5 linked regions of the Macaca mulatta genome follow. The protein of the gene in region 4 binds, or shares a complex with, the protein of the main gene of each other region. Links are inferred from orthologs where the notes say so. Each region holds a gene or a part of one and is shown on either strand. Other genes may lie near its edges. The genes, in order: ITGA2B, ITGB2, CFTR, FLNA and ITGB3.

Region 1 (3,509 bases), on a different chromosome or scaffold from region 4:
AAACCAGTCCTTGGACCTCTTGCCTCACTCAAGGGGAAGGGCAGAGCTAGGAGGAAGTGCGTCTTGTCCTCAAGACCAGCCAGGAATTCCTGAAGGCAGAACTTACACCCTATATACCCTCTATATCCTCTGATTCTTTCTGGTGGCAGGGGTGTCTAAAGGCCCCAGAATTTCAGGTGCTGTCCTTTCTAGTAGTATGTACCTGGAAGTGTTCCCAGGAGAATGACATTTTTTGGGTTTGTGTGTTTGTTTTACCTTTTTTGCTCTACTAGAGAAATACATTCTATTTCTTTCTTTCTTTCTTTTCTTTCTTTCTTTCCTTCTTTTTTGGAGATGGAGGCTCGCTCTGTTGCCCAAGCTGGAGTGCAGTGGCGTGATCTTGGCTCACCGCAACCTCCGCCTCTACTGCCTCAGCCTCCCAAGTAGCTGAGATTACAGGCATGTGTCACCACGCCTGGCTAATTTTGGTATTTTTAGTAGAAACGGGGTTTCACCATTTTGGCCAGGCTGGTCTCGAACTCTTGACCTCAGGTGATCTACCTGCCTTGGCCTCCCAAAGTGCTGGGATTACAGGTGTGAGCCACCCCACTGGGCCGAGAATGACATTCTAATAATGGAGACATAGATCCCTGGTCCCTGGATTACCCACTTGGGTGGGCCACCATCTCTCCTTGACTCCCTGTGAGGCAAGGCGGGGCCAAGCCTGTGCCCCACTGGAGATTCCACTGTCCTTCACACCTCACCTTCCACATGGCCAGGACCAGGATGGTGAGCAGCAGCAGGCCGCCCAGCACACCCACCAGCACCCACCAGATTGGAATGGCCCTCTCCTCCAAGGCCCGAAGCAGCTGTGTCCGCACCTGGGGGCAAACCCACGTGTCTTCTCAGTCACCTTGACACCTGCCTTTCCTTCTTTCCTTCCTTCCTTCCTTCCTTCCTTCCTTCCTTCCTTCCTTCCTTCCTTCCTTCCTTCCTTCCTTCTTTCTTTCCTTCTTTCTTTCTTTCTTAGATGGAGTCTCACTCTGTCACCAGGCTAGAGTGCAGTGGCGTGATCTCCACTCACTGCAACCTCCACCTCCTGGGTTCAAGAGATTCTCCTGCCTCAGCTTCTCGAGTAGCTGGGACTACAGGTGCGTGCCACCACGCCCAGCTAATTTTTGTATTTTTAGTAGAGACAGGGTTTCACCATGTTGGCCAGGATGGTCTCAATCTCTTGACTTCATGATCCACCTGCCTCAGCTTCCCAAAGTGCTGGGATTACAGGCATAAGCCACCACACCCGGCAGACACCTGCCTTTCATAAAGACTCAAACCTCAGGCTGGTGACCTCCAGCCATGCCACCCACCCATACCACCCCTCAGACCTTCCTGACTGGTCACTGACTGGGGACAATGGGTCCTGCAGGACTGGTCTCTGCTCCAGCCCCCCACACTCACCTGAGCTTCCCCTCGTGGCAGGCTGAGCGGGGGCACGGCATAGGGGAGGGAGGACACGTTGAACCATGCCTGTGACTGCAGCACAAACTGATCCAGTGGCCTCTGGACAGGTTGGGGTTGAAAGCCATAAACACCCACACGAGGCCTATTGGTTGCAGGAGTCCGGGTCCCACACTCCCGGCGGGGAAGCCCTGCCTCTGGCCTAATCCCCTGCAATCCCCCAAAGTAAACCTTGCCTTCCCTCTCTTCCTGCCTTCCCACACCAAACCCTGCCCCTCCCAGAGCAAAGTGGTCCCTGCCTAGAATGCCCGGCCCTGCCACCCTACGGCCCGCCCCACCTGGTGGAGGCTGGGCAGCCACAGGAAAGCCAGCACCGTGACCATGGCCCGCTGCCCGCGCGCCATCTCCTGCAGGTCACACTGCACCACAGTACAGGGCGCCGAGTCGCAGCTCTGAGGGGAGGCGTCGTCAGTTCCCAGCCCATCCTGGCCCATCGCCCCATCACCCCCCCGCCCTTACCCCCAGGACCCAACGCAGAGGGGGCCGGGCGTTCAGGGAGCGATGGCCTCCCCATCAGGAAGGGCCTTGGATCCAAGCTTCGGATGCTGGCTCTCCACGGGCTTGCTCACATAGTCCCAGAGATGCAGGGAGGGTCATACCCCAGCACGCAATGCCCAGAGCTATGATAACCTTGCTTTGGCGTTATTTTATGTTCCTTAACGTACTGGGAAGCTTTAAAAAAGTGCAGGTGTCTTTCAGCTCACCCCAGACACAAGCCAGTGTGCTCCTCCATGTTGAAGTGCTCCGTGGGACCAAGCGTGGCCCACAGAGGCCCACAGCACACCCGGACCCCTCTCCCTCCTCCCATCCCCTCTGCCCCTTGGGCCCCGGGGAGGCCCCACTGGAGACCAGAGAGCCTGCTCACTACGAGAACTGGATCCTGAAGCCTCGAGGGCTGCTCGGGCTCTGGCAGGAAGATCTGTCTGCGATCCCGCTTGTGGTGGGCCGGGTGAACGGGGGAGGGGCTGGGGGTGGGCAGCCCCCAGTCCACCTGGTAGGGCGAAGGAGTGGTCAGGCCCAGGTCTCTGCCGAACCCCAGCCCACAGAGGTGCCCCGGTGGTTGGTCTGGGGCCCCCTTCACAGCTCTTTCTTCCACCCAGCTCTCACCTTGAGGGGGTTGACAGGAGGCTGTGGGAAGCACTGAAGGCCCCCCTGGGGCTGTATATCCAGGATGTAGAGCAGGTCAGAGTGCTGGGACTGCCCCGGGAGGTGGATGCTGAGGTGAAGGCCATTCACAGTCCCAGGGCCATTGTTGTGGAGCTGGAGGGGTGGTGGTGGCAGGGTGCGGGGAGCTCAGCCCCTCAACCGGAGTTCTAAGGACTCGCTCACCCCAGCCCGGGACGTGAGGCTCCTCCCTACCTCATAGGTGTGCTCCACTTTGGGTCCCCGGCTGTCCAAGCTGTTCTGCTCCCTGTCACCTTCTTCTGCAGCCACCACCAGGGAGGCTGGAAAGGAGTTCCTGCAGGTGCCCAAGACCCCCAGAGAGAGTGTGATGCCCTGACTGGCCTGTGGGGTTCCCCAGCGCCCCCTGGAGTTGAGAGCCCTGAATACCACCTCCATTCTCCACCCCTGGCCTCTCACCCTCGCAGCTCCACTTGGGCCTCTGCCCGGACTGGCACATCCAGCAGCACAATCTTGCTGTTTGGATTCTGGCTGTTCTTGCTAGAGGGGAGGGGATGAGGAGAAACAGGGCCAGGGACACCAGCCCAGTGACTCTCTGAGGGTGAGGCCAGAATTTTAGAGAGTTCAGAGAAAGCTAATTATACAAACAGCATGCCACACTGAAGTTAGGCCTTGGGAAAGAACGTCCTCTACGGCTCCAAGACTCAGATGTAAGTCTCTGAGGAAGAAACGGAACTAGGCTTCTTCAAAGACCTTTTTTTTTTTTTTTTTTTTTTTTTTGAGACGGAGTCTCGCTTTGTCACCCAGGCTGGAAGGCTGGAGTGCAGGGGCCCAATCTCAGCTCACTGCAACCTCCTCCTCCCAGGTTCAGTTCAAGCTATTCTCCTGCC
Region 2 (3,509 bases), on a different chromosome or scaffold from region 4:
TGGAGGACAACATGTACAAGAGGAGCAACGAGTTCGTAAGTCCCCACCCCAGGCACCCAGGCACCGCCTGGCAGGACACCATTGACGGAGGGAACAAGGCGGGGTCTCCACCTTACAGAGCCTCCTTCCAACCCAAGGAGCAGATTCCCGAGGAAACTTCTGGAAGCCCCAAGTGGCAGTGTGGGGTCTCCCAGGACTGGCCTCAGGCCAGGGGAGGGTGGGGTTGGTGGGGGCAGCCAGGCTGAGCCCCGGCCTCGCCCTTGTGGCACTCCCAGGCCCTGTTGGTCTCCAGCCCCACTGCCCCCGCACCTGGGCTGTCAGCGGCTGTGGAGGTACAGTAACCGCCCCCAGGCTACAGCCGCGCCCTGTTGTCCCCGCCGCTGGCCAGAGTCCCATCCTGGAGCATCCGCCTCCTCCTCCTCCTGGCCTCCTCTGTGGTTTCCCTGCTGCCCCTGAGTCCGCCTCCTCCAGTGCGGCCCCTCCCTGTCCCCAGCGCCTGAGCTGGGTGAGGGACTGCGGGGACCATGAGGAAAATGCGGGGAGGGACCCAGGATGCACAGGGTTAGGACGAGCCTGTCTCTGCAGAGGCATTTCAATGGCTCAGAGGGGCCACGACCTCTGGCTGGGATCAGCCGTGGGCCCAGAGGCCACCACCGGTCACAGGGGCTTGTCCTCGCTGGCCATGGTGCAATGCTCTTGCGGCCTGACATCATAGGCTCTGGGGGCGGCAAAGGACTTTAGAGATGCAAAACTCAGGTCCTCTGCCGAAGCCACAGACGGGAGGGACGGCCGTCGGGTCCTGGAACTTGGGTAGCGAGAGCCGCACCTGACCCTCATGGCCTCTGCTGAAACTGAGCGCCTCTCAGTGCGAAAGCAGGTCCACCGTGTGGGGCAGGCTGGGATTCTGCCCCGTGGACATCCCCAGTCCCACGGTGAGACGCCTCAAATGCTGCTCTTGGCTGGACTCTGAAAGCCCAAGTCTATGCACACGTTGCCCAGAGGCCATGGCGGCTCTCTGCACTGCACTCCTGCGCGGCAGCCTCTGCCTCTCCAGCCTTCCCCCGAGAGGGTCCGAAGCACAGGCAGGGCTAAGGCTGAGTGGGGCAGACAGGGGCGGGCACCTGGAAGGCTTGTCTCAGACTCGGGGCCAGCTGAGCAGGACCTCCTTTCTCCAGGACTACCCATCGGTGGGCCAGCTGGCGCACAAGCTGGCCGAAAACAACATCCAGCCCATCTTCGCGGTGACCAGGAAGATGGTGAAGACGTATGAGGTGAGTGCTGTTGGGTCCTGAGCATCTGTTGGGCAGGGGCACGTTTCAGCCGCAGGCCACACCCAGCGCCACTGCAGGTCTGAGTGCCACCTCCACATGCTGGGCACGTGAGGGCCAGCCGGCCCGGGTCACAGATGCCTGTGGGTGAGGAGCCTGAGGCTTCCCGTCCAGGACAGGACACCTGCGTGTCGATAGAAGGAGGAATTCCTCCCTATCCCTGAAACTCAGCTGTGTTAACAGCGTGTCTTGGCATTGGTGATATTTTCTGTTCTTTTCTGGAATATAGCACAATTCTTTATTTTATGGAAACATGCTTATTTTATGCTCACATACATTTGAATATCAACACTCTCCACGAAGATAAAATTACACAAAAACGTTCACAAGCTTGGAGCGTGGGGTGGGATGAGTTTTACAAAGGAAGCACAGCCGATAACCAGCTCTGCTCCTAGAAGCAGAAGCCCCCAATGAAATACGTTCATCCCGAATTTCCACCGCCCGTGCCATGTGTTCAGCCTGGCCTGAGCAGGTTCGTGCGTTCAAGTCGCTCAGGTGCTGTCGGGGTTCCCAAGACCACTCTCAGGGTCAGTGATTTGCTGGAAGGACTTGCAGAGCTCAGGAACTAGTAAACTCACAGTTACGGTTTATTGCGAAGCAAACCCTCCTGGGTGCCAGCCGCTGCCCGAGGTGGGAGGATACAGACAAAAGTCACTAAAGGTCAAAGGTGCACAGGAGAGAAACCAGGCCACCTCCTGAGGGAAACCACCGCTTGTGCACACAGAGAACACACCCTTCTGCCATATGTTGATGGAGACAAGCCTTCCATAAATGCCTCAAATGGGAGGAGCCAAACCAAACAAATGGAGCCCTGGGATTCAGCACTGGCTTTGGATCTTCCCACATAGGCCTCCTGAGTGCTGGGATTCCAGGCATGGCCCCGGGCAGCTCAGGGCTTTTTACCCCCCCTTACCACATATCGCTGACCACACACTCTGGGGACCAAGCGAGAAACTGCATTGAGGACCGTCCCAGCCATTTTGCAGGTGCAGAAGCCCCTGGGGTGAGCCCGGTGCGTGGAGACGCCATGGCACAGGTCCTCAGGGTGAGCCCGGTGCGTGGAGACGCCATGGCACAGGTCCTCAGGGTGAGCCCGGTGCGTGGAGACGCCATGGCACAGGTCCTCAGGGTGAGCCCGGTGCGTGGAGACGCCATGGCACAGGTCCTCAGGGTGAGCCCGGTGCGTGGAGACGCCATGGCACAGGTCCTCAGGGTGAGCCCGGTGCGTGGAGACGCCATGGCACAGGTCCTCAGGGTGAGCCCGGTGCGTGGAGACGCCATGGCACAGGTCCTCAGGGTGAGCCCGGTGCGTGGAGACGCCATGGCACAGGTCCTCAGGGTGAGCCCGGTGCGTGGAGACGCCATGGCACAGGTCCTCAGGGTGAGCCCGGTGCGTGGAGACGCCATGGCACAGGTCCTCAGGGTGAGCCCGGTGCGTGGAGATGCCATGGCACAGGTCTTCAGGGTGAGCCCGGTGCATGGAGATGCCATGGCACAGGTCCTAGCCATGCCGTGTCTGGTCTTCTTGCCCAACAGAAACTCACTGAGATCATCCCGAAGTCAGCGGTGGGGGAGCTGTCTGACGACTCCAGCAATGTGGTCCAGCTCATTAAGAACGCTTACAATGTGAGTCTCCCACACCGCTCAGCCGGGACCCATGGGGTGGCCAGCAACCTCCCCACTGCAGGTCAGCAGGAGGGTGATCTGGGAGGAGAGCCACTGCCCTGTGGGCTGGTTGCAGCCTCCAGGACACCCTGGCCTGGCAGTTCCACGGGGAGCTCCATGTCCTCTCTCATTGATGGTGTGGGCGATGCTCCTTGAAACCCAAGCTCAGGCCCTCTTCATGCAGGACTCTTCTCTGTGGGTCTCTATGGGGAAGGGGGGTGGACACTCTGGTGGTAGACAGGGCACCTGGGGCTGGAGGAGGCCACAGGAAACCCCCACGGTGGACTTGGGCCCTGGGAAGACACCCTGGGGGGTGGAATTCCTCTTGCTCTGTACACCTGTCCTGGGCAAGCCCCAGAGAAGCCCTCACCCACTGAATTTCTTCCTGGTGCATGGCCCAGCTGCACCCTGGGCTGCTCCCCGGGGAAGCCCGGGGCCCTGGTGGGCATAGGTAGGCACAAGTGCACACTAGGCACCGCTCAGGGCCCCAGGCACCAGAGGTCCCAGACTGCTCTG
Region 3 (4,120 bases), on a different chromosome or scaffold from region 4:
CATGGAATATTAATTCTTCTGAAAACTGCATTTTTAGACTGATTGGCATTTAGCTTCCTCAAAGTTCTCTGCTAAAAAGGTCTATAATTTATGCCAATTAACATTCTGATTTTATAAGAAGTAGGAAAACAGATCAATAGATAAGCCGATTTTATAGAAGAAGTAACAAAAGGTGCTATAACATCAATACAAAAAGGTAATTCCAAAGAGTAAAGTCCTTCTCTCTCATCCACCGGGAGGAGCTCTCCTTCAAGGGCCACAGTCTCTCCTTAGCACCGGAGTTCCAGGATTAGCTGCACATGCAGAGAACTAAACATAACAGAAATGTGAAAGCTAAATCTCTTCCCCCCTACACACTTATATGAGCTATTTATAACATATTTCACTTTTTTGATACCTCAGTATGCTTATTCATTGGGTAATTATGAGTCAAGTAATGTCCCACGAGAGAGAAGTACCTACTCATTCATTCACACAGGTATAACAGGAACAAAGTAGATGCAATATCCAAAGAACACTTCAAATATGAAGTGCTACATCTAATAACACTTTGCCTAAGATTCCGAACTTAGACGCTGTTTTTCAAAATCTCATTAGATAAAGTTTGCAAGCTTCTATGGCTCAAAGTTTGCAAGCTTCTATGGCTCATCACATTAGGCTAGGAATACAATTTATTAAATGTCAGTTGGATATAACTTCAGTATCTATTCCTATGGCTTTTAAAATTTATAGCTTGTAAAGTTAACTTTTTTCTAAATAAATATTTCAACAAATTTGCCTTCAATTTTTAAAGAACAATGTACTTGTGACAAATACTAGATTTATCCAGTCTCATAACAATAAATATTTTAAGCACATATTTTCTACCTACCCCAAAAATTTTTTTGGCAGAATTCAGTCAAGAAATGTTTTCTGAGCACCTACTATATGCAGGCATGGCACCTGTATGTGCCAAGAAGATAATCAAGTGTCCAAGGCATGAAGGGGGAAAACCAATAAACCACACTTAAGTATTTATTATTAACAAGTTTTTTTAGTTTCTTAGAAAAATCAAATAAAATAACTGCATAGTAGCATACTTGGGTCTTGAGATTCTAACTTTTCAGTTGCAAGTAGATGTGGCTGTCTATTCAATCAGCTTCAATTCATTCTTCAATCTCTTCTTAACGCTTTCTGTTTTATTCCACAATACCCACATTTTCTTTCAAAACAATGAATGATAGCGCATCTTTTTAAAAACTGCTTATTTCTTTTCCCCAAATCCAGCCCATACACACGCCCTAATCTTTCGTGGGCACGTGTCTTTCCAAAGCTCGGTTGGCCACCCTCTCACCTGAAAAAAAGTTTGGAGACAACGCTGGCCTTTTCCAGAGGCGACCTCTGCATGGTCTCTCGGGCGCTGGGGTCCCCGCTAGGGCCGACTGGGCTCAAGCTCCTAATGCCAAAGGACCTATTACTCTGGGTGCCTGCCGCTCAACCCTTTTTCTCTGACCTGCTGTGATGTCATTTGCTTCCAACTCCCCCCACCCACCCCTACTCCACACACCACCCCTTCCTTTTGCTCCTTCCCCCGCCTTCACTGCCCAGGTTAAAAGCCGAGTGCTGCCTGGTCCGGCCCCAAATTTGCTCTAGCGGCTTTCTCCACCCACTACGCACCCCCGGCAGCACCCCGGCCGCTCCTTCCTCCTCTCCTCCTTCGCTCCCTCGCCGCCCCGCACCTCCCTTTTCTGATTCTGACTCCCAGCCTCCCTCCCTCGCGCGCGCTCCTTCCAGGTCCGTGTCCTTACCGCCCAGCACCAGGCCCATCCCGCAGGTGGGCGACAGTCGCGGCCGCTCTTTAGGTGCGGTTGGCAACGCTGGAGGACAGAAGAAGCCACCGGCAGAACTGGCTCCCCGGAGAGCCTCCTGGACCGTCCTTCGCGGCAGGGTCCACCAGACCCAGCACTCGCTGCCACCAGCTTCCCCCGAGCCTGCCTTCCTCCTCTTCCTCCTTTTTCCGATGATCCTAGCTGGGTTCCTGTTACGTTTGCAAGGTGCATTTTGAAAAGGGAAGGAAAATGTGCCTTTCGTGTATCAAAATACAGCCTTAGAGAGCCGAAAAGTTCCGCGGCAGTGTGGGTCTGATGCATTCACCTTAGCGCTTCCTCTGCGTGTTGGAGAAAAGAACCAAGCTTTATTAGTTTCAGGCTTAGGTGAGTGAACTCCAAGGATGACAAAGAAATCTGAGGACACGTACTTAAAGGGGGAAAAAAAATCTACAAGGAGGTAAGAGGAGATAGTGCTTCGCCTAATTACCAGCCCAGGATTTGTTCCTTGTCTGTCGTTTTTAGTCCAGTGTGCATTTTTAAGGAAGGCTTTGGAGTGTTTTAGCGACAATGACAAGCAACAATGTAAACTAACCCGCCCTCCTATAGATTTCCTAGTCTCAGTCAGCAAAACATCTTGACTAATCCACCGAAAGGAATCCAAGCAGTCTTTGAAGCGAAGGTAATGTGTTAACTTTGACCTGACTCAGAGAAACGCCATCTTCAACTCTCCAAGGGCAACTGGACATTCCCAGGCGTAGGCGCCTTCCTTCTGAGCACTTGGTGTAGGATTGCCTGTGTCTCTGACGGTATTTAAAGAGCCAACCCTCTAATCCCTGAACCCTATTGTGTAAAAGCAAGCACACGTTGTGTTTGAATTGAAAAATTCAAAGGAAAGTAAAAATTTTGGCCTGATTACTTCATTGTCAACACATCTAAGGCAAGGGTCTTGTGAATGATCTTATTGTTAACTTGTGGTCACCCAGCTACAGTACAAATAAAACATGCATTTCATGATGGAAAGACAAGAACATGTGTTGAAAATAAAGAATGTGTTCAGCAGGTTTTCATAGCTCTGCTTTGCACTTCAGTGGACAAAAGCATACCTTTTTTCTTGAATATTGTAAAGTAAGATTTAGAAACATTTAATCTTTATTATCCTAAATTTGAATAGTAGAGAAAAGGGCAAAGAGATAAACCACATTGCATTAAGTTAGACACCAGGAAAGAACTTCAGCACTTTTAACTCACCATCCACCCTGTTGTTTGAAATCCTCTACCTGTGTTTTCACTCTCCAGTATGACAAAAATTGAGACTGTCTTCACTATTGACTTTTCCCAGACATGTGACTGAACTCACTCCATCCACTTCCCCATCCCCAATCTGTTGTTTGGTTTATAACTATTAGTGTGGCCCATCAAATATAATACATGCGTTTGAAATAAATTATTTCAAAAAATTATTTTTGAAATAAATTATTTTGAAATAAATTATTCTTTGTTATCAACAAGCAAGTGAAAATAAAGGGATTAAGAATTAAGCTCCAAAGAGAATCATAGAAGCTGACCAAGGAATATGGCTGCAGGAGACTCCAAATATTTTTCAGTCAATCTCCTTCTGGAAAGAATGAAACAGTTACTTGAGTTCTTACTATTTGCCAGACATTATTCATATAACCCTTACAACAACCATGTAAACAGGTGTTATTATCTTCAGTTTTCAGTTGAGTAAGCAAACAAGAAAAGTTAAGTAAATGCCTATAATGATAGAGCTAAGATTCAAACCTGGGTCTAGTTCTAAACCATTACTCCTATCACTGTGTAATACTGCTTCTAATCAAATCATCCCTCATGTATTTTTATAATGTCACTTATACATCAACCTAGTCTCTTTCCTCACATTAGTTTCATGAAATAATAACTTCTAGGCCTGTTTAACAATGAAACAGGAAAGCAAATATCTACAAACCAAGTAGCCAAACCAAGTAGCCACTGGAGTTATATACTTTTAAAGAATTACATTTAACTATAACATTCCATTTTAAGCATGTACACACACATGTACATAGGAAGACCATAGATTTTTATCATAAAACATTATGGTCCAAATTTGTTTTGGTAGAAATAAAACTTTACCATTATTCAGAGCTTTAACACAGTTAGCAAGCATGTCCAAATGCACTAATTGCAACATGATATTCAGAATTTGCATCAAGATACATACATAATGTGGGAATAAGGACTTATCGACCAGAAAACTGTTCAAATGTGACTTAAGGTCATGACTGAAATCCTAAACGTATCTTTGAAATGTC
Region 4 (3,509 bases):
TTGGCCCCCCCATCCCGTGCTACCAGACCATGACCCCAAAGCCTGGGAGCGGCCCCTCCCGCACAGCTGTGTGCCCAGTGTAGCCACTCTTGTACTCACAGACAGCAAGGCCATCGTGGACGGGAACCTGAAGCTGATCCTGGGCCTCATCTGGACCCTGATCCTGCACTACTCCATCTCCATGCCCATGTGGGATGAGGAGGAGGATGAGGAGGCCAAGAAGCAGACCCCCAAGCAGAGGCTCCTGGGCTGGATCCAGAACAAGCTGCCACAGCTGCCCATCACCAACTTCAGCCGAGACTGGCAGAGCGGCCGGGCCCTGGGTGCCCTGGTCGACAGCTGTGCCCCGGGTGAGGGGGCACAGAGGCAGGAGAGACTGGGCTGGGGTCGCCCATGGGTGGCCCTTGAGGGGCTTCTGTAGCCCCCGGATTCACAGCCTTCCTTGTGCCATAGGCCTGTGTCCTGACTGGGACTCTTGGGATGCCAGCAAGCCTGTGAATAATGCACGAGAGGCCATGCAGCAGGCGGATGACTGGCTGGGCATCCCCCAGGTACACCTGCCCGGCCTGTCTGCGGCTGTAGGGGACCGGATCGGCAGTTGGGAGAGACTCGGAGGCCCGATGGCTCCTGTTTTCTGCCCGTGACAGGTGATCACCCCCGAGGAGATTGTGGACCCCAACGTGGATGAGCATTCTGTCATGACCTACCTGTCCCAGTTCCCCAAGGCCAAGCTGAAGCCAGGGGCACCCTTGCGGCCCAAACTGAACCCGAAGAAAGCCCGTGCCTACGGGCCAGGTGAGGGAGCCCAGCCAGGGGTGCACCCATGTGCCAATGTCTTACCCGTAAGACAGTGTCCCATCCAAACGTGGAGGTCCCGAGGGGTCTTGGGTTACATGGTGGCTAGGTGATCGGGCCACCCAAAAGTCAGACAGGAGTGGGTCGGGACTAGCGGCAACACTCCACTGAGTAGGCAAGAGAATGCCAAAACGTTCCTCCAGTCACAGAAACCTGCAGCGTGAGGTCCTCGGGGAGGTAGCACCCAGGGGTCTCTGTTATACATGGAGATGAACCAGAACTCAGTAACAGGGACCTAAAACCCAGTCACAGCTCACACAGGAATAAGGGCCCAGTGCGGTGAGAATGAATGTTCCAGAAAACAGGCACAGGCCTGTCCCAGCGGCAAGAGCTCACACTGAATGAACTTGCCCAGTTTGGAATGTACCTGACTTAGGGGCCAGCAGGGAGGGGCGTTGAGCCTGCAGAGGCCTGGGGGCTGGCATTGCCACCGGTGCTCTTGCCCGCCTCCCTTAGCATCCAGGACTGAGGGGTGGAGGGGTGAGGCTGTGGCCCTAACAACTGGCCTGTGGTTGGCTCACCCTCCCCTGCCAGGCATTGAGCCCACAGGCAACATGGTGAAGAAGCGGGCGGAGTTCACTGTGGAGACCAGAAGTGCCGGCCAGGGAGAGGTGCTGGTGTACGTGGAGGACCCGGCCGGACACCAGGAGGAGGTAGGGCTAGCTGCTGGCAGCGGAGACCCCGCGGCACTCCCTTTCAGTGGGGCTGCTCTTAGCGAAGGCTCACAGGCTCCTTCCCACTGCAGGCAAAAGTGACTGCCAATAATGACAAGAACCGCACCTTTTCTGTCTGGTACGTCCCCGAGGTGACGGGGACTCATAAGGTGAGCCCTTGGCCAGTGGGGAGGCTTGTGACCTCAGGCGGTGGCTGGAGGTCCCTAGCCTACCCTCACGGCCCACCCTTCTGGGGACAGGTCACTGTGCTATTTGCTGGCCAGCACATCGCCAAGAGCCCCTTCGAGGTGTATGTGGATAAGTCACAGGGTGACGCCAGCAAAGTGACAGCCCAAGGCCCCGGCCTGGAGCCCAGTGGCAACATCGCCAACAAGACCACCTACTTTGAGATCTTTACAGCAGGTAAGGGGAGGCTGCCGAGGCCCGGCTGGTCTGTGGGGAGAGCCACACTGGGGCCGGGGAGCTAAGCAGGTGCCTTGTGGCAGGAGCTGGCACGGGCGAGGTTGAGGTTGTGATCCAGGACCCCGCGGGACAGAAGGGCACGGTAGAGCCTCAGCTGGAGGCCCGGGGCGACAGCACATACCGCTGCACCTACCAGCCCACCATGGAGGGTGTCCACACCGTGCACGTCACGTTTGCCGGCGTGCCCATCCCTCGCAGCCCCTACACTGTCACTGTTGGCCAAGGTAGGCCCGGCCCTGACCGCCCTCTGCTGTGGCACTGCAGTCTGGGCCTCCCACAGGAGGGGGAGCCCCCTGGTCCAGTCCCGCTGCAGCCCACCCCAGGGCGCCTACTCTTTGAGCTTCCACTGTCTGGGCACCTGCTGTCTTTCCTCCCCTGCTGGGGTCCTTCCTCCTCTCCTCTCCTCGCCCCTCTCCATCTCTCTCCTCTCCTCGCCCCTCTCCATCTCTCTCCTCACGCTTTCACCTTTGGAAGAGCTCGCTCCAGCTGTCTAGAAACCTGCTGCTCTCCGCTCTGCCCATGGGGTCAACGGTACTTGGATCTGTCTTCTTCTTGGAAGGGAGGGCGGGGGGCTCTGGGCTGGTGTGTAGCAGGTGGGAGGAGGCCTGCCATGTCCTGGCCCAGGCCACAGTTACTGGGGTCACGGTTCCTTCCAGTTCTTTCTTGCATGTCCCCCTCCAACCAAACTCTGAGGGACCCTCCAGTCCTGACAGCCCCGCCCTGCAGGAGGCAAGGGAGGGGTCACCCAGCCGAGCTGCTGGTGCTCAGCTGGCCCCTCTGCCTACAGCCTGTAACCCGAGTGCCTGCCGGGCAGTCGGCCGGGGCCTCCAGCCCAAGGGTGTGCGGGTGAAGGAGACAGCCGACTTCAAGGTGTACACAAAGGGCGCTGGCAGTGGGGAGCTGAAGGTCACCGTGAAGGGCCCCAGTAAGTTGGCCTGGAGCCAGGCCAGGGTGGGTGGCGGCAGCCCCCAGGTTCACTGCTGGGCAGGCCTGAGGCCCTCCTTGTCTTCGCAGAGGGAGAGGAGCGCGTGAAGCAGAAGGACCTAGGGGATGGCGTGTATGGCTTCGAGTATTACCCCACGGTCCCTGGGACCTATATCGTGACCATCACATGGGGCGGTCAGAACATTGGGCGCAGGTGAGGCCCCCAGGCATCCCTCTCCCAGCTCTGCACATTCTGCCTCTTCCTCCTGCCTCCCCACCTGATGATGAGGGGCCACACGGGCTCTTCCTGCCTGGCCGCCACAGTGGGGCCCAGGCTGGCTCATGTAGTGATTCTTGGTATTCCTGTGTGGCTCTCCCATTCGCAGTCCCTTCGAGGTGAAGGTGGGCACCGAGTGTGGCAATCAGAAGGTGCGGGCATGGGGCCCTGGGCTGGAGGGCGGCGTCGTTGGCAAGTCAGCAGACTTTGTGGTGGAGGCTATTGGGGACGACGTGGGCACCCTGGGTAAGTTGGGGGCTGCACCATGGGCACCTGGGGACAGACGATGGCAAGGACAACCCACCCTGAGGCTCCAG
Region 5 (4,307 bases), on a different chromosome or scaffold from region 4:
GGCTGGGAGTGCAGAATGGACTCACTTGCACAATTGCGTCATGTTTGCTAGGGCTTGGGCTTGGGTTGTGGACTTAGCATATTTGCTGAGGTCGTTGCCCACCCCAAGTGGTTGGTGCCAGTAGGGATAGGCTGAGGAGACACCTAAGTGGCTGGAGATTGGTTTTATATATATGGGAATGGAGCAGATAAGTAAATATTTTAGGCAGAGATGTAACCAGGCCATGTGACCTGAACTTTGCTCCAGGGCCTTGAAATTGCTGTTAAAACGCTTCTGGCCTAAAGGCCCTCTGAAGCCAGGGGAGGTAGATGGAGCTTCAACCTGAAAGCCCAGGTGAGAGGGCCCAACTACCCTTTCCAGAGCTGGCTCTTCCCCTTGCAAATTGCTAGTGACGCTTCTGCTGATGTGTGTTACTGTTAAGGTGTATCCTAGTGTTTGGGAGGGTGGGGCAGGAGGTGGAGGATTGTCAGAAAAAAATTACATGGAAAAGAGGGCATCGGAGATGTTTTGAAGGATAAGTGGAATTTTCCAAGTGGAAAAAGGAAGGAAAATCAGTCAGACAGGAAGACATGGAGCATTTGGGAATGACATGTATCTTCTTGGACTTAGGGTGTGAGATGGGCTGCAGAGATGGGTCAGGGCCAGTTGTCTGGCATCTTGTGTGTCGCAGAAGAGGGTGGGGACTCTGCATAGGGAAGCCAAGGGCCACTCTGAGAGCCCTAAAAGGGAACTGATGCCTCAGGCCTTGTTTTTTTTATCACCATCAGGGCTACCCAATGAGGAGGGCTGCACTACCCCGGCTACTTCCTGGTGGCCTCTTGCTCATAGCCATAGTATTTTGCCTCTCTGAGCTTCCAGAGGTTTTAAGTCTGGGGAAGATCCAGGGACTCAAGGAAAGATTGGGGTGGGAGTTAAGGGGCCACAGTTTGGGGGAGTCAGACAGGAGGCCTTTGAGGAAAACAGATAAAGTCCCAAAGCCTGTTAGTGTGAATTTGGAGGCAATATGCTGACTGTGTTCTGAAACGTTTTCAGACACCGGCTAGGTGCAACCAAGTGTTTGTGGGGTGAGGCTCTTCATGGACTCATCACTGCTTACACAAGCTTGGGATGTGGTCTTGCCCTCAACAGGTAGGTAGTCTACCGGAAAACCAAACTAAGGCAGGAAAAAAATTAGTTAATAATAAAAGACAATCGGCTCAGAGAAGGCATTCAACAGATGTCTGTCAATCAAATTAATTAAAGTGTGAATGAATGAAACTCGAGGCAGTGGGTGAATGTGTCCCAAGAATCCAAATGAAACAAGGTATCCCGGGAGGCGGGACTGGAAGGGTCCAGAGAGGGGTCACAAGCTCCTGGCCTTTCTGAGCTTCCAAGTGCCCAGTCGCGGACCCCCGGGACCAGGATGCGCTGACAACCTGGCTGGCAGGCGGGTCCTCGTGGGCGAGGCGAGGGAGGCGGCGGGAGAGTAGCAGCAGTTTCCCACCGCTCCCTCTCAGGCACAGGGTCCAGAGAAGCCCGAAGGGAGGAAGCGCAAGTCCGTGGCCCGCCCCGTTGCGTCCCACCCACCGCGTCCCCTCCCCTCCCGCTGCGGGAAAAGCGGCCGCGGGCGGCGGCGCCCACTGTGGGGCGGGCGGAGCTCGGCGGGAGGCGGACGAGATGCGAGCGCAGCCCGGGCCCCGGCCGCTCTGGGCAACTGTGCTGGCGCTGGGGGCGCTGGCGGGCGTTGGCGTCGGAGGTGAGTGAGGCTCCGGCTTGGCAGCGACGCAGCTGCCCCAGGATCCGCGCCGCGGTCAAGTTGCGGACTTGGAGCCGGGAAAACCGGAGGGCTGGTTCAGCGCGTCTGCGCTGGGAATGCGCGGGTCCTGGCTGGGGCCGTCGGAGCCGGGAGCTGGGGACCTTCCTGGCCTGGCGGTGGCGAGGCTGAGAGGTGCCTGGTGCCTGGGGGCGGGTCCTCCGGGACGCCGAAGCCATCAGCCAGGCTGAGAGCCTTCCCGGCCGCCGCGGCGCTCACGGTGCGGTGGGCTCATCTCTGAGTCCCGCCATCAGCCCGGGCTGCGCGCGTCGTTGGTGGTCCCGGTCGGGCCAAGGACTACTGGCCCAGGAGCCAAGGCGAGGTGGGGCTTCCGGGGATTGTTCCCGGGCCTTGGCAGAGGGATGCCGCCGTAGGTTCCTGGGTGAGAGCGAGCGCGCGCGCGGGTTAGCCAGTTTCCCCACGTTTCCAATTTCTCCTGCTACGCTTTCTCCAGGAAAAGGTTTTTTCTTTTTCTTTTTCTCTTTTTTCTTTTTTCCTTCAACTTGGCTTCCTGCGGGATTGTTTTGGAGCAGGATGAGGGCTTTGCCTCCTCCAGTGTCCCCGGGTGGCAGCGGTGCCTCTACTCCCGGGGCAGACCCTGCACCCGAAAAATCTCTAGTGTATTCGGGGAGCCATGAAAAGGCTCCCTTGGGCCAGTGAGATCCTTGGCTTTGTCTCTGGCTGCTGCGCACACCGTCAGCCGTCAAGGCAATCGGCATTCGGCTTCTTTGGTGCTGGGGACACAGGTGGAGGGATGGAGCTGGCATATCCCGGGGTTGCTGACCGTGGTCCTCTCGGAGTCCTTGGAGATTTTGCCTGGGGTGGGGAGAAACCCTGGCTCCTGGTCTGCTGGGGCCGCCTCTGCCTCAGAGGATGACACAAGAGTGCATATAAGTATTTTTAATAAAAACTGTAGTACTCGTAAAACAACCTACACCCTGCAGAAGGGATTTTTTATTTTATTTTATTTTATTTTTTTGAGACGGAGTCTTGCTCTGTCACCCAGGCTGGAGTGCAGTGGCCGGATCTCTGCTCACTGCAAGAGCCGTCCCCCGGATTTATGCCATTCTCCTGCCTCAGCCTCCCGAGTAGCTGGGACTACAGGCGCCCGCCACCTCGCCTGGCTAGTTTTTTCTTTTTTGTATTTTTTAGTGTTAGCCAGGATGGTCTCGATCTCCTGACCTCGTCATCCACCCGTCTCGGCCTCCCAAAGTGCTGGGATTACAGGCTTGAGCCACCGCGCCCTATTTTGTTTTATTTATTTATTTTTTGAGACTGAGTCTCCCTCTGTTGCCCAGGCTGGAGTGCAGTGGTGGGTTCTCGGCTCACTGCAACTTCTGCCTCCTGGGTTTAAGCGATTCTCCTGACTCTGCCTCCCGAGTAGCTGGGATTACAGGCGCCTGCCACCACGCCGGGTAATTTTTGTATTTTTAGTAGAGACAGGGTTTCATCATGTTGGCCAAGCTGGTCTCGAACTCCTGGCCCCAAGTGATCCACTCACCTCGGCCTCTCAAAGTGCTAGGAATACAGGCGTGAGCCACCGCATCTGGCCAGGATTTATTTTAAAAAGGGAAGCTTTGTTGATAAGTTCACTTCAAAGATAAACTATTCGAAAATACTTTAGTGATTCCCTTCAAGACTCTTCTGTGTATGTATAGACGTGTAATTCATCCTGGACAGGGCAAGGATATTATTATTATTATTATTATTATTATTTTTTTTTGAGATGGACTCTCGCTAGAGAGACGGAGTTTCTCCATGTTGGCCAGGATGGTCTCGATTTCTTGACCTTGTGATCCACCTGCCTCGGCCTCCCAAAGTGCTGGGATTACAGGCGGGAGCCACTGCGCCTGGCCAAGGATATCTTGAAGGAGGGATTACAGTTGATGCGAGGGGAATATTGCAGTGGTTATTGCTGAATTTCCTATGTGACAGATCAGCTGATAGTGTTCGAGTGCAGTGAGCAGTCTGATGACTATGACACAGAAATAGGAATCTCCAGCATTCTGCCCTCGTACATGTGGAGCCTTGGATCAGATGCGGGGAATGGAGAAATCTACCAGGGCAACTCAGTCAAAAAAAAAAAAAAAAAAAAAAAGATATGCTTTCCCTGTCCAGGATGAGATGCTTGCCTCCATGCACTTACAACAATTTTTGCTGTCATTAAAAAATTTTCACATTCACAGTATTCCAAATTCACTTTGGAGTGTATTGGATTCCACTGCATTGACATACCTATGTTTGTGTTGAAAAATCAACTTTAAGATATCTGGTCAGGCACGGTGGCTTATGCCTGTTATCCCAGCACTTTGGGAAGTGGAGGTAGGAGGATTGCTTGAGCCCAGGAGTTCGAGACCAGCTTGGGCAACATAGTGAGACCTAATCTCTACTAAAAATTAAAAAAAAAAAATCCTTGGGCAATCTGTTCACAGATTAATCTTGTGATTGGGATGATTCAAGAAGTGGTGATGGGTTGGGCTGGGCTAGCCCCGCACTCTCTGAGAAGCAGCGTACA

Evidence for each region.
Region 1: the proteins of FLNA (region 4) and ITGA2B are in contact, whole or in part, in an NMR structure (PDB 7SFT), measured with the Homo sapiens proteins. The link is inferred for Macaca mulatta from reciprocal best matches to the Homo sapiens genes FLNA and ITGA2B. Residues at the interface, in NP_001104026.1 of Homo sapiens: Thr2263, Gly2267, Ala2268, Gly2269, Gly2270, Leu2271, Ile2273, Ala2274, Val2275, Glu2276, Gly2277, Ser2279, Ile2283, Phe2285, Asp2287, Arg2288, Lys2289, Gly2291, Cys2293, Val2295; in NP_000410.2 of Homo sapiens: Trp1019, Lys1020, Val1021, Gly1022, Phe1023, Phe1024, Lys1025, Arg1026, Asn1027, Arg1028, Pro1029, Pro1030.
Region 2: the proteins of FLNA (region 4) and ITGB2 are in contact, whole or in part, in a crystal structure (PDB 2JF1), measured with the Homo sapiens proteins. The link is inferred for Macaca mulatta from reciprocal best matches to the Homo sapiens genes FLNA and ITGB2. Residues at the interface, in NP_001104026.1 of Homo sapiens: Val2241, Thr2263, Ala2266, Gly2267, Ala2268, Gly2269, Gly2270, Leu2271, Ala2272, Ile2273, Ala2274, Val2275, Glu2276, Gly2277, Pro2278, Ser2279, Lys2280, Ala2281, Ile2283, Phe2285, Phe2311; in NP_000202.3 of Homo sapiens: Leu753, Phe754, Lys755, Ser756, Ala757, Thr758, Thr759, Thr760, Val761, Met762, Asn763.
Region 3: the proteins of FLNA (region 4) and CFTR are in contact, whole or in part, in a crystal structure (PDB 3ISW), measured with the Homo sapiens proteins. The link is inferred for Macaca mulatta from reciprocal best matches to the Homo sapiens genes FLNA and CFTR. Residues at the interface, in NP_001104026.1 of Homo sapiens: Thr2263, Gly2267, Ala2268, Gly2269, Gly2270, Leu2271, Ala2272, Ile2273, Ala2274, Val2275, Glu2276, Gly2277, Pro2278, Ser2279, Lys2280, Ala2281, Ile2283, Ser2284, Phe2285, Asp2287, Phe2311; in NP_000483.3 of Homo sapiens: Ser10, Val11, Val12, Ser13, Lys14, Leu15, Phe16, Phe17, Ser18, Trp19, Thr20.
Region 5: the proteins of FLNA (region 4) and ITGB3 are in contact, whole or in part, in an NMR structure (PDB 2MTP), measured with the Homo sapiens proteins. The link is inferred for Macaca mulatta from reciprocal best matches to the Homo sapiens genes FLNA and ITGB3. Residues at the interface, in NP_001104026.1 of Homo sapiens: Gly2236, Arg2264, Ala2268, Gly2269, Gly2270, Leu2271, Ala2272, Ile2273, Ala2274, Val2275, Glu2276, Gly2277, Pro2278, Ser2279, Lys2280, Ala2281, Ile2283, Phe2285, Asp2287, Gly2291; in NP_000203.2 of Homo sapiens: Lys742, Ile745, Thr746, Pro771, Leu772, Tyr773, Lys774, Glu775, Ala776, Thr777, Ser778, Thr779, Ile783, Tyr785, Arg786, Gly787, Thr788.

What each region holds. Positions count from the first base shown.
Region 1 is NC_133421.1:68,750,842-68,754,350, forward strand, and holds part of ITGA2B (integrin alpha-IIb), read right to left. Parts: intron 3,160-3,509; coding exon 3,079-3,159; intron 2,957-3,078; coding exon 2,857-2,956; intron 2,758-2,856; coding exon 2,605-2,757; intron 2,489-2,604; coding exon 2,363-2,488; intron 1,890-2,362; coding exon 1,776-1,889; intron 1,583-1,775; coding exon of another isoform or gene 1,540-1,582; coding exon 1,438-1,539; intron 861-1,437; coding exon 650-860; intron 1-649. UniProt on the Homo sapiens protein: Integrin alpha-IIb/beta-3 is a receptor for fibronectin, fibrinogen, plasminogen, prothrombin, thrombospondin and vitronectin. It recognizes the sequence R-G-D in a wide array of ligands.
Region 2 is NC_133408.1:2,622,498-2,626,006, forward strand, and holds part of ITGB2 (integrin beta-2), read left to right. Parts: coding exon 1-35; intron 36-1,175; coding exon 1,176-1,271; exon of another isoform or gene 1,272-2,202; coding exon of another isoform or gene 2,203-2,864; coding exon 2,865-2,954; intron 2,955-3,509.
Region 3 is NC_133408.1:157,022,839-157,026,958, reverse strand, and holds the start of CFTR (cystic fibrosis transmembrane conductance regulator), read right to left. Parts: upstream 2,803-4,120; 5' UTR 1,788-2,802; intron 1,536-1,787; exon of another isoform or gene 1,436-1,535; 5' UTR 1,387-1,435; coding exon 1,334-1,386; intron 1-1,333. UniProt on the Homo sapiens protein: Epithelial ion channel that plays an important role in the regulation of epithelial ion and water transport and fluid homeostasis. Mediates the transport of chloride ions across the cell membrane.
Region 4 is NC_133426.1:160,547,886-160,551,394, forward strand, and holds part of FLNA (filamin-A), read left to right. Parts: intron 1-101; coding exon 102-350; intron 351-453; coding exon 454-551; intron 552-647; coding exon 648-795; intron 796-1,389; coding exon 1,390-1,508; intron 1,509-1,600; coding exon 1,601-1,678; intron 1,679-1,768; coding exon 1,769-1,931; intron 1,932-2,014; coding exon 2,015-2,215; intron 2,216-2,778; coding exon 2,779-2,916; intron 2,917-3,005; coding exon 3,006-3,129; intron 3,130-3,301; coding exon 3,302-3,438; intron 3,439-3,509. UniProt on the Homo sapiens protein: Promotes orthogonal branching of actin filaments and links actin filaments to membrane glycoproteins. Anchors various transmembrane proteins to the actin cytoskeleton and serves as a scaffold for a wide range of cytoplasmic signaling proteins.
Region 5 is NC_133421.1:71,534,286-71,538,592, forward strand, and holds the start of ITGB3 (integrin beta-3), read left to right. Parts: upstream 1-1,500; 5' UTR 1,501-1,656; coding exon 1,657-1,735; intron 1,736-1,999; exon of another isoform or gene 2,000-2,007; coding exon of another isoform or gene 2,008-2,559; exon of another isoform or gene 2,560-2,653; intron 2,654-4,307. Other genes in the region: uncharacterized protein LOC114673163, read right to left, coding at 2,008-2,559. UniProt on the Homo sapiens protein: Integrin alpha-V/beta-3 (ITGAV:ITGB3) is a receptor for cytotactin, fibronectin, laminin, matrix metalloproteinase-2, osteopontin, osteomodulin, prothrombin, thrombospondin, vitronectin and von Willebrand factor.